Sus scrofa: one gene and its partners. The protein of the gene in region 2 interacts with the protein of the main gene of each other region in a pairwise test. Links are inferred from orthologs where the notes say so. Each region holds a gene or a part of one and is shown on either strand. Other genes may lie near its edges.

Region 1 (4,097 bases), on a different chromosome or scaffold from region 2:
TCACTTGGGGTAACAAATCACTGTTCACAAAAATAAGCTTCATTCCTTTGCTTTGATCCATCTCCTTGCAAAAGTCACAGAATCCAAGCATATGACTTATGGTGGCTCCCAGTAACTCTGATACTCAGAAGTGATTATTCATAATTTAGAGGAAGAAACAAAAGGTTCCCAACTCCATGGAATAAGGAAAGCAACAGCGCAAAGGAATCCAGTTCCTCAGTCGATCCACCTCTTTCTCACCTGCTCAGCCAGGCCTCTTTCTCTCTTTCGTGGAACTCATATTGCCCTGCTTGATCTGAGGGAAATCAAGATCAGAAGTGTATCCCTGTAAATGGTAAATTTCTTTGCCTTCTTTCCTGGGAGAGTCTAACTTCAGTGCTGGGCACATGAAGAAAGAGAAGGGTTGGTGGGAGACCCCAATACATTTTCTCCCAAGCTCCTGAACCTGGAAGATTAAGAATTAGCCCGGGAAGATCCCTCTGAGCCTTCAAGCAATGTTCAGTCTAGAATAGTGTGGCAGGTAGCCCTGTCTGGGGGTCTGGAGGCCCTAATTCTTCTCGCCCCCCTGACACTTGACTTCAAGCCAAAGTTGCTTAACTCATCCCTCTGTGAACAGCTAACTACACCCTACACTTAAGGGAGCAATAAGCACCCCGACCACTAACGGGGGACCCTCTGTTCACTCCTCAGGGTTGTCCTGATGCTCAGAAGGACGAATGACGCACAGCTGGGAAAGTGCAAATCCCTCCAAAGCCCAGGCTGACACCTTGAGCATCTGATGTTGGACTAAGCGGGGCGGCAAGACTTCCCTTCTCCTACCTTCCTCGCCCATTCAGCGGCCGCGGGCCGGACGCAGAGGAGGGGTTTCGGCTGGAAGAGGGTTGGGCCTGCCGGAGGGGGGGGGGGGCGTCACACGGGGATTCTGAAATGGAGCGTTCCACGATGCACCACAGCCTTTTCTCCGCCCCCCACTCCCAATTCCAGCTTTCAGCCTTGGCTCCAGGATCGACCCTTCTGGGCGTCCACAAACCCTTAGGGGAGTCCGAGACAGGAGGACAGCGAAGAGATAAGCCTCCAGACCGACCTTCCCAAACCGGTGGCGGCCCACAGCAGGACGCACCAGCGTGAGCCTCCTGCCAACCTTGTCCTCAGCCTCTCCACTTGGCCACCCGCTCGCGGGCGCGATTCCCGCCGCGCCTTCGACGCCCCTCCCTCCCGCCCCGCCTCGGCGCGCGTCCCCCGCGCGAGCCCGCGGGGAAGCTGGGCAGCCGTGGCTTGGCGGACCCACAAAGCCCCCGGCCAGGAGCCGAGCCCCGGGCGCGCGCGGAGCGGGGCGTGGCAGGGCGGGGCGCGCAAGCCGGGCCGGGCCGGGGGTGTCGGATGTCACCCCCAGCGCACACCTCGGCCCGGGGACGGAGGAGCGAACCACTGAGATGCGGAGACCTCCCCGGTCCTAGAGCGGAGCAGGAAGTGTCCCAGGGGAGGGAGCCGGAGGGCTTCGGCCTTTCCTTTTCTCCGCGTCCGGCGGGCTCCAGAGGCAGCCAGGCCTGCACGGCGCGCCAACTGGGACGCGGCGCGGCGGTGAGTGCGGCCCGGGCGGCCGAGGCTTCTGCGGCCCGCGCGCCCGCTCGGCGCCTTCCCGCGCGCCCGGCTCCGCGCTCCCAGGTCCCTTGGCTCCCAGCCCCGCGCGCTCCGGCCTCCCTCCCTTCCCCGAGCCGAGAGGTGAATCTTCGGGCAGGGGCATAGACAACACAAATGTTGTTTTTCAGGCGTCTCCATTTGCTCCTACTTCTTCCCTCCTAAGCGGAGCCCTGGTTTTCTGGATGAGCAGGAGACGGGGTCTCGGCTAGCCAGGAACAGTCTGGCCCTTGCAGAGAACCCGCCTCAGGAAGGACACCCGGGAGACCGCGCTGGAAGGATGAGGAGCTGCTGCCTAAGTCTTCCGCCGCAGCAGGAGGGATTTGAGTTAGACGCTGGGAAGGAGTTCCAGGCTGTGAGGTGAGGAGCCGGGAGCTGGTTAAACTGGAGGCGTGCATGGGTGTGGATGTGTAGGGAGGGAAGAGGGAGAGGGATCTGGAGCTAGGAAAAGCTTGCCCCTTTCCCTGGCACAAAATGCCCATCCCCTTCTCTTTCTGCTAATCCAACTCTGTCCTCCTTATAGAGCTGCTTTAAGTGCGCCCCGCCCCCTACGGGATCCTCCAGGGACCTACGTTAGTTCATTCATCAAGCTTCATTCCTGAGCCTCCTATGTGCTAGATGCCAGGGCGACAAAGAGGAACATGGCTTTCTAGTTAGGGACGATGGGCAGAGCTAGGTGTTTTAGAGTGGACACTGAGGACTTAGGGTGGGGGCACGGGTCCCCTAGCCCTGAGAAATCTAGGGCCCTGTAGGTGTGTGATGGCAGGGAAGGTGGAGTGGATAGGGCTGGGATTGGGTTTCAGATGTAGGAGCAAACACTGGAGGAAATCCATTGGTATTGGTGGGGCAAGTTGTAAGGTGTCCAACCAGATACCCTCAGAGCCCTTTCATACCAGTGTGCATTTATCTTTATGTTGGAGAGCAGAGGTCCAGAGGTTTGGGTTTTTCTGACTGCCATTTAGTGGCATTGTTGCTCTTCTAGCCTCACCTGTCTTCCTGTGAAATGGGAAAGAAGCCTCCATTTTGCACGGAACCCTTGGGGGATGGGTGGGGGCATTGAGCTGTTGGAGGTTAAGGGGCTGGCTTGCTGGGGAGCCTTATAAACCAGATGTGGAGAGTAAGTGACCCTGTCCAAGGATTTCAGAGGCCCGATGGTTGGGGAAGAGTGACCCCATTTGCCCTTCATCTTTTCTGGGACCCATAGTCTGGAATAGTGGCTGCTACTCTATGTTGTTGCTCTATATGTATTCACTGGGGAGGTAGAGGGGCCCCTGAAGTCGTGGAGGCTGTGCTCTGAGCACCTCACCTGTGTCCTGCCTAGGAAAGGCTGTGAGTTGTGCATGGTTTTTCTTATTGTAGATTGAAGATGACAAGAGAAGGCAAAGTGGACATCTTTAAGTACTAGTGTATATTGGAGTTCCCATTGTGGTTCAGTGGTTAATGAATCTGACTAGGAACCATGAGGTTGTGGGTTCGATTTCTGGCCTCGCTCAGTGGGTTAAGGATCCGGCGTTGCGGTGAGCTGTGGTGTAGGTCACAGATGCAGCTCGGATCCTGAGTTGCTGTGGCTGTGGTGTAGGCTGGCAGCTGTAGGTCCGATTAGACCCCTAGCCTGGGAACCTCCATATGCCACGGGTTCGGCTCTAGAAAAAGGCAAAAAGACAAAAATAGATAAATAAATAAATAAAAAATACTAGTGTGTATTTAAATGTTATTGTGTACCATTCAGACTAGTGAGTTGTGCAGAGGCTCCTCAGAGAGTACTGACATTTTTTTTAGTCTTTTTAGGGTAGCACTCGTGGCATATGGAAGTTCCCAGGATAGGGGTCTAATTGAAGCTGTAGCTGCCTGCCTACGCCAGATCCACAGCAACACCAGATCCGAGCGACGTCTGAGCGAGGCCGGGGATCGAACCTGCAACCTCACAGTTCTTAGTCGGATTCATTAACCACTGAGCCATGATGGAGACTCCAAGAGTACTGATATTTTTAAATGCATAGTGTTATTTTCTTCTAGTAAACTCAGGGTGTAGCCACCTCTTAAGATTCCCCATCTCTTGTCTGGGTATCTTCTCTGCTATCTGCTTCATTTTCTGCCTATCAGTGCTTACTCCACTGAGCAAGGCCAATTCTTGCTCTGTGTTGTTCCAGCACTGCTAGTTCACTCTAACTACTGCAGGATGAATTTCTCATCTGGATTCACTTTTGAAGGCTTTTCCTGTGCATGTCTGTCTTTGTCTTTCCAGCTCATTTTGTAAAGGTCTCAAGGACAAGGACGGTGACTTCGGCTCCAAAGCCTCAAGGTAGCGGCCTTCTCATCTTGTCCATATCAGGTCCTTTCCAGGAGGACCTGGCCACTGAAGGTACCACACAGTGTTAATTACATCTCTGTCCTGCATGTGGCCCCATTGGTCTCTTGGGTTGCTTGGAACACCAATGCCACATTGAAATGCAACTGCT
Region 2 (4,446 bases):
ACATTCGAAAAACATTTATTGAGCACGTCATTATTTTCCAGGCATAACTCTAAAAAAGACAGACTCAACCTCTAAGAAAGCCATGGTCTTCCCAAATGCCTGTCAGTGCCAGCTGATACCAAACTTGCTCTACCTACCTTGTATGTTATGGCCAGTACCAGTCTTCTAATGGTAAATTCCCAAGGACCCCAGTGCAAATGCCACCCCCAAACCTGATGTACAATCTTCTCCCCTTTAAGCTGCTCAGGGGGAAGGCATTTCCACGGAAAAGTGAGCCCAAACCTGCCTCATCAACCTGCTTCCCGCTCCATCCCGTGTTACAGAGCACACCCCCTTCATCACCAGCTTATCATCCCTGCTCCTTGAGGCCAGGTACTTACCTCTACAGAGTCTTGTCGGGGGTGTATCAGGTATTCAGCCAATACTGTCAGACACAGGTAGCTGTACTGCGATGCCAGTTCCAGGGCCTCCGGAAGGCCCAGAACGTATTTCTCCCCAGCACTTACCGCTGGGCATGCAGCAGGCACTCGGCAAGTGCGTGTCTAACTGGGGGTTAACGGACCCGAAGTGGACAGCGGAGGCCGGCACATCCCGGCTTCCTGCCGTCGGGATTTGGGGGCCCAGTCTCCAAGGTTTCTCCCCGCGCCGCTCCAGCAGCCGAGTCACCGCGCGCCGACTCCGTCCGCTCTAGGAACCTGGCTGCTCGTCTCTCTGGTGCTTCGAGCCGACCCCTCCTGCCGCCACCAAGCTGGCTCAGTCCGTCAGCCTCATCCCTCCCCTCATCCCCGCATTTACGCAATCGTTTCGATTAAAAACCAACTAGATGATGAAGGCAAAACTGAGTTTAAGTTCTTCACAGGCTGCTGGGGGGGGGGGGCGGTGCGGAGAACAGATGACTAAACATCATAATAGCAAGCAGCGCAAATGTTTAAAACGTAAACATACAGCTTATATATGCACAATAAAAATCAAGTTGTATAGACTACAAAACGAAAAGTGTCCCACTCTTCGGAGTTTACTATCGTTTAATATTTCGTGTATACCTTCCTAGGATACTACCAGCCACATTGTAGCTCTCAGTAAACATTTGTTAAGTGTGTATTTTAAATCACCTATGGCATCACAATAAAATTTTGCACCTCATCTTTTTCATTTAAGATGCCTTGGCAATCTTTCCATGCCAGTTTATTTTTTAACAGCTAATTAGTACTCCACTGTATGAGTGAATTTACTTAACTATGCCTACTGTATTTCTCCTTATAGGAAACGCTGTAGAGACCACCACTGAACATCTTCGCATGCGTTTATATTTCTAGGATAAATCCTACACGTTGGAACTAATTTGTCAAAGAGCATGCGCATTTGATATACAGCTCCCCTATTTAATTTCTAAGGGTGCTACTATTTAAGAGTAAACTGAGAACCCAACAGAAAAATACAGCTAAGAGGAACATAATGACTCAAAATCAGAATTAACATGTTTAATCAGAATTCACTTATTAACAAGTGAAAAGATTCAATTTTGACAGTAAAAACATTCTTTCACTCCTCTAAAAAGCAGACCTAGGGAATTCCTGTTGTGGCTCAGCAGAACAAATTTGACTGGTATCCACAAACAAATCTGACAGGTTCGATCCCTGGCCTTGTTCAGTGGATTACGGATCCTCCTTGCCATGAGCTGTGGTATATAGGGTGCAGAAGTGGCTCAGATCTGGTATTGCCGTGGCTGTGACGTAGGCCAGTATCTACAGCTCCAATTGTACTCCTACCTGGGAACCTCCATGTGCCACAGGTACCACCCTAAAAAGACAAAAAAAAAAAAAAAAAAAAAAAGCAGACCTAAAAAAAATGGCTGATCAAGACAAGACACTGCTGGGGTTTCTTGGGTTTCTGCCTCTGAAAAAAAATTTAACTGTCTTTTAGTGTGTTTAGGATGTCTTATACTACAAGCACAACCTGAATCAAGATGTTATAACCTTTGCCCTTTGTCCAGTTTTCAAGAATAAATAAGGAAAACATGTTATTTAAATATAGCTCTATCCAACATTTATGCCCAAGTGGCTATGGGTCTGGCCCCAGGGTATAGGTGAGAAAACCACCTCCTTTGGAACTGAAAGGAACAATTAGGTTAAAGTGTCAATGAACTTAGAATAATTATAATACCTCCAAGTATGGAATCATCATGAAAAGATAAAGTCAAAATAAATTTTCCAGATATTTGTTATATAAGCCTTCATACTTTGAATCTTTTAATTATTACTTTCTTTTTTATTTTGTCTTTTTGCCATTTCTTGGGCCGCTCCCGTAGCACATGGAGATTCCCAGGCTAGGGGTCGAATCGGAGCTGCAGCCACCGACCTACGCCAGAGCCACAGCAACGCGGGATCCGAGCCGCGTCTGCAACCTACACCACAGCTCACGGCAACGCTGGATCGTTAACCCACTGAGCAAGGGCAGGGATCGAACCCGCAACCTCATGGTTCCTAGTCGGATTCGTTAACCACTGTGCCACAATGGGAACTCCTAATTATTACTTTCTAATGAGAATAATAAAGATATTCCATGTTCTTTCCTTAAACTGAACAGAATCCAATGGATTTAAACTGATCTGGAGTTAAATGTTTACTCACTGACCTCAGCAAACCCCTCAAAACTCTTGGAAAAATTCCCGTTATCCACTTAACTTTACTGATAAAGGCAGAATAAAAGATACATACCTCATGGCTTCCTAAGCGATGGAATATGACTGACTTTTCAAGAAATTCTTCAAATACTCAAAAAATTACAGCTGCTTCTCCTGCAGATTTGGTCCTCCTCCCAAAAATGGTATTAACTGTTGCTTCTGATCAGCTTGCACCCAGTCAGAGTGTAGTGGGAAGTGGGTCAAAGACTCCTAAGCCCTTACTTCAGCCTTCATTGTCCCCTTTATTCTTGGTGACAGAAGACTGATTTTTCAGCTGGGTACTCTGCAACCCAGAATAAGACACTCTCCAGCTTCCCTTTCCTAAATTTTGGCCTACGATATACATGCTGAAGTTATTTATGGGAAGGCTGCTCAAAGGGAACTGACTGACCAGGAGGAATCTCCTTTTGTCCACATTTTGCATATGATAGCTGGAGCTTCAGCAGTCACTGAGGATCACATGGTAAACCTTAAGGGCTGATGGCAGAGACTGGTGTCCCTAGTGATGTCATGGATCCACCTTACCATTCCTGGACTGCTCGTCTCTGGCCTTTCCTATCTGAAAGAAAAACAAACTTTTACTAAGTCATTCCCACTTTTGTTTTTTAAACTATATGCAGCAGAACCAAGACTTTAGTAAAATATGAGGGTTCACCAGTCTTTCCATCAGCATGACAGACTGCAAAGTCTTTTCCAGACAGCAGTATCCCAAGCAACTACCACCAACCAGCAAGTGATGTTTACTAACCTGCAAGTGGTGTTAACCAATCACCCCAGTGATGTATTCAGAAGTGGACTCCCCAAAGCTCAATATTCATTACCATTAACATTTTGGCATTTACAATGTGAAGATCATGACCTCCTCCAAGCTGACTTTATTATTTGACTTCCAAAATTCCAAAACAAGGAATATTTTAAAATTACACCATCAGTATTAAAGGAAAAAAGTCCAATTTCTTCCCCCAACCATTTATTGAATAGAGTCTATGTGGCAACCACTATACTGACACTGGAGTTATCAAGTAAGATAGTTGCTACTTAGATTAATTCAGCCCAGTTCATTTAAATGACTTATGAGATCTCTTCCATAGTCTAAATGAAACTGTAATTTCTAACTTGAATCAGTGAGGTGTTATGGCAGAGATGGGGCTGGGAAATGGTAAAATTAGATGATCTTTGCTTTCCAAAATGCTTCTGCTGACTGGGGGTTGGGGGTGGGAAGGGTAGTAAAGCCAGTGGGGTAAATGTTCACATTGACCTGCACTTTAAGATCCCTCTGAGTGTGAGACATTTCCAAAGCTCATTGCTTTTATCGTATAGGAGTCTGCTGCCATAGTTCATGAGGCCCTCTACTACCTGGAGATATACAAATATGCATTTACCACATTAAAGGCTCTGAGAAGTCCTGCGGTAAGAACGCCTGTTTACCTTTGATCCCACACCACCCAGCGTCAAATTATTGTGGTCCAAAGCCGACTACAAGGAAAACAAAGGAGAAAGAGTAGAAGTAGATAGCCTCCAACTTGGCCCCAAAAAGTTCTCTGCTAGAGTGACCTTTCCTAAAGTGCTGCTTGCTTATTAATGCACTGTCTCTGACAGTCCACAGAAGACACCGCATCAGGCCAGTTTATCTCTGTGGTGATACCTCTGATGTTGAAAAAGACCTGACCTCTGCCGGAACGCTTCTCCACATTCCTTACATCCATAGGGTTTTTCCTCGTTGTGGATTCTCACGTGCTGAGCGAGGTGCGAGTTTAGTCGGA
Region 3 (3,012 bases), on a different chromosome or scaffold from region 2:
TCAAGAGCAAGAGTTTGAGGACCGCCCTTCAGCTGATTTGAATACACACCTTATCAGATACTAAGGAGGAGCTACTTCTCCCAGGAAGGAAGAGGCGGGCCTTTCCAATCCCACTTTCCATGGATGATAAAACTGGCCCACAGTATCCTCCAGGGTGAAGCTTGCTCACCTGCCCGCTTGCTTCTCTCACAAGCGTCCTATCCTAATAAATCTGTTTCTTGCCTATTAAAAAAAAAAAAAATAGCCTGATGAATTGGGCCTTTGGGGAAGCCAGTGCCCAAAGGGCAGGCAGGTGGGACAAGTAGTTTGGCAGTATTGATACAGCAATGGCCACTTAAACGAGTATTTAGTAGAGCTAACAATTTGTCTGCACCATCCCACAGTCATAAGGTAAGACTATAACCATCATCTACCCTCTTAGGTAGGAAAACAAGCTCAAATTCCAGCTAGTGAGAGGGTAGAGCGAATACGGAACCCAGGCTGCTGGACCCACATTACCAAACAAAGGAAACCCAAGTGGGGTCCTAGGGAACGCGCAGGAGAAAATTTCCCAGATGTGGAGGCCCAAGCCTAGCCAACCCAATGATTCCACAAAACCTACGAAGGTCAAGTGAATAAGAAAGGCTTTATTCTCATGAGCTCCCAACTTGATTTCGCCACCAGTCAGAAAGGTTGGAAATAGGCTCGGGGAAATAAACATTGCAAAGGACGACCGAAAAGGACACTCGAGACTGCAGGAACAGCCAAAACTCGTTTTTCATTAACGCAGAATGGAGAGCCGGGCCGCCGGCAGCCCGGCTGCTCAGCCTGTAATGCGTACGTCTGTGCGGCGGCGAAGCCGCCGGGCCCGCGCCGCCTCGGGCAGGATGGCGAGCAGCTGCTCTTGCACCAGCATCTCCACGATCTGCTCCTTCGTGCGGATGTCGGGCCGCAGCCACTGGCGGGAAAGCTCCCGCAGCTGCCGGAACGCTTCCCGCGGGCCTGCCGCGTCTTGGTAGCGGAACTGCCGGAATCGCTGGCGGAACGTCTCTGGGCCGGGCCGGGAACCGCCAGGGCCTGGGGGTGAGCGCGGAGCTGCTTCGGCAAACGACGCGGAGCCCAGGGCTGCGGGCCCGAGGGGCAGCTCCAGGGAGGCGGAGGCGGCCGAGTGAGGCGTAGGATTCTCTTCGGCGACCTCGGCCTTGGGGCTGGAGGGCTTGGGGGCAGGCGGTGGGGCCTCAGGAGTCGAGAAGGAGTCCGCAGAGTCACGCTCCGGGCCTGAGCTCGGGCCGGCCCCTTCTTCTTTCCCCAACGGCAGCGCGAGACTCCCGGTAGCCGCCAAGCTCAGCTCGGTGGCCGCCATAACTCCGCTACGGACGTCACTCTTTGTCCCGCAGCTGAGGGCGCGGCACTACGTCTGCGCGGGGGCTGGGTAAGGAGGGAGACGTTTCCGCTAGAGGGCGGAGTCCGCGAGACCCTGAGGGAGGCGGGCGGGGGGCGCCGTGAGCTTACCAGCGCCGGCGAAGCGGCTGGGGCGGCCGGAAGTGGTCGTCCCCGCTGGCTTCTCTATGATGACCTCGGTGCGCGAGCGCCCGGAAGCCGAGTCTGGGCTCGAGGACGCGGCGCCCCCTCGCGTTCGCGAGTCCCGCCAGGAGGCGGCGGCCACAGCAGGGCACCCGGCTAATCTAAGCGTGCAATGGTCAGTTCGGGATGGTGGCGCCTCCGAGCACCAGTTCGAGGAGAAGGAGGAGGCGGGGAAGGAACCCGAGGAGGTGTCGGAGGATGACTCTGAGGAGGAGAACTCTGAGGAGGAGTTGGAGGAGGAGTCGGGGGAGGAGCCGGTGCCGGAACGCCTACTCAGGCCCAAGGAGGAGGGGCCCAAAAGGGTCATCATGCGACTTGGTGGCTTCGGCCGGCAGGTGACCTGCGCCGCCCCTGCCTCTGCATGCGCACCTTTTTACCCGACCCTAATTGGGATGAAGGCGAGCCAGAGCTCGCGGGGTCTGGGGCCCAGCAGGTGGCAGAGAAGGGACGGCGGGATGACTGTCAGGCATTAGGGGGAGGGCCCAACTCGGGAAAGTTCTTTCGCTCAGTCGAAAGAGGGCAGTACACCTGCCTGGTAGAGGGAGTGACACAGATAACGTGTGTAAGATCCTCAGCACACAGAGTAAAACTTGCCCTTCTCATGGCACAAAGTAAATGCTGAAGAACTTTTTTTTTTTTTTTTTTTTTTTGCGTGTCCTCTGGAATCAAGGGACAGGTGGCGCTGTAGGTTTTGCTTTTAATTTTAGGATTACTAAATAGACTAAATGTGTACTGCCATATAGTGGTCACTAGGTATGTATGCTTACCTCGTTAGTTCTTGAAATGTGGCTAGTCAGAAAGGGAATGTCCTGTAACGTGACATATATACAGGACTTGGTATGAAAAAGATAAAGTGTCGCCGTAATTTTTTCTGTTGTTACATGTTGGATTGATAATATTTTGCATATATTGAGTCAAATAAAATATATAATTCAGGATTTCCTGTCGTGGCTCAGTGGTTAATGAATCCACCTAGCATCCATGAGGACACAGGTTCGATCCCTGGCCTTGCTCAATGGATTAAGGATCCTGCATTGCTGTGAGCTGTGGTGTAGGTTGCAGATGCCGCTGGGATCCTGTGTGGCTGTGGCTGTGGCTTAGGCCAGTAGCTACAGTTCCGATTCGACCCCTAGTCTGGAAACCTCCATATGCCATGGGTACTAAATATATATATATATGTATATAAATGTCAAATTTCATGTGTGTCATTTTACTTTTTAAATGTGACCTACTAGAAAACTATTTTTTATGGGGGGGGGCGCACCTACAGCATATGGAAGTTCCTAGGCTAGGGGTGGAATCTGAGCTGCAGTGCCAGCCTAAGCCACAGCCACAGCAATGCCAGATCCCAAGCTGCCTATGTGGCCTACACCAGATCCTTAACCCACTGAATGAGACCAGGGATGGAACCTGCATCATCACAGATACTAGTTGGGTTCTTAACCCACT

What was found.
Region 1: the proteins of PGBD1 (region 2) and ZNF496 interact in binary tests that used the Homo sapiens proteins (3 or more experiments, as listed by UniProt). The two-hybrid records come from large-scale screens. The link is inferred for Sus scrofa from reciprocal best matches to the Homo sapiens genes PGBD1 and ZNF496.
Region 3: the proteins of PGBD1 (region 2) and SCAND1 interact in binary tests that used the Homo sapiens proteins (3 or more experiments, as listed by UniProt). The two-hybrid records come from large-scale screens. The link is inferred for Sus scrofa from reciprocal best matches to the Homo sapiens genes PGBD1 and SCAND1.

What each region holds. Positions count from the first base shown.
Region 1 is NC_010444.4:57,052,167-57,056,263, forward strand, and holds the start of ZNF496 (zinc finger protein 496), read left to right. Parts: upstream 1-1,250; 5' UTR 1,251-1,581; intron 1,582-1,769; 5' UTR 1,770-1,998; intron 1,999-3,883; 5' UTR 3,884-4,097. UniProt on the Homo sapiens protein: DNA-binding transcription factor that can both act as an activator and a repressor.
Region 2 is NC_010449.5:22,132,160-22,136,605, reverse strand, and holds the start of PGBD1 (piggyBac transposable element-derived protein 1), read right to left. Parts: upstream 2,829-4,446; 5' UTR 2,718-2,828; exon of another isoform or gene 1,467-2,717; intron 864-1,466; exon of another isoform or gene 861-863; 5' UTR 381-860; intron 1-380. Other genes in the region: ZSCAN26 (zinc finger and SCAN domain-containing protein 26), read right to left, coding at 4,301-4,446.
Region 3 is NC_010459.5:39,243,850-39,246,861, forward strand, and holds SCAND1 (SCAN domain-containing protein 1), read right to left. Parts: upstream 1,548-3,012; 5' UTR 1,343-1,547; coding exon 803-1,342; 3' UTR 607-802; downstream 1-606. Other genes in the region: CNBD2 (cyclic nucleotide-binding domain-containing protein 2), read left to right, coding at 1,548-1,898. UniProt on the Homo sapiens protein: May regulate transcriptional activity.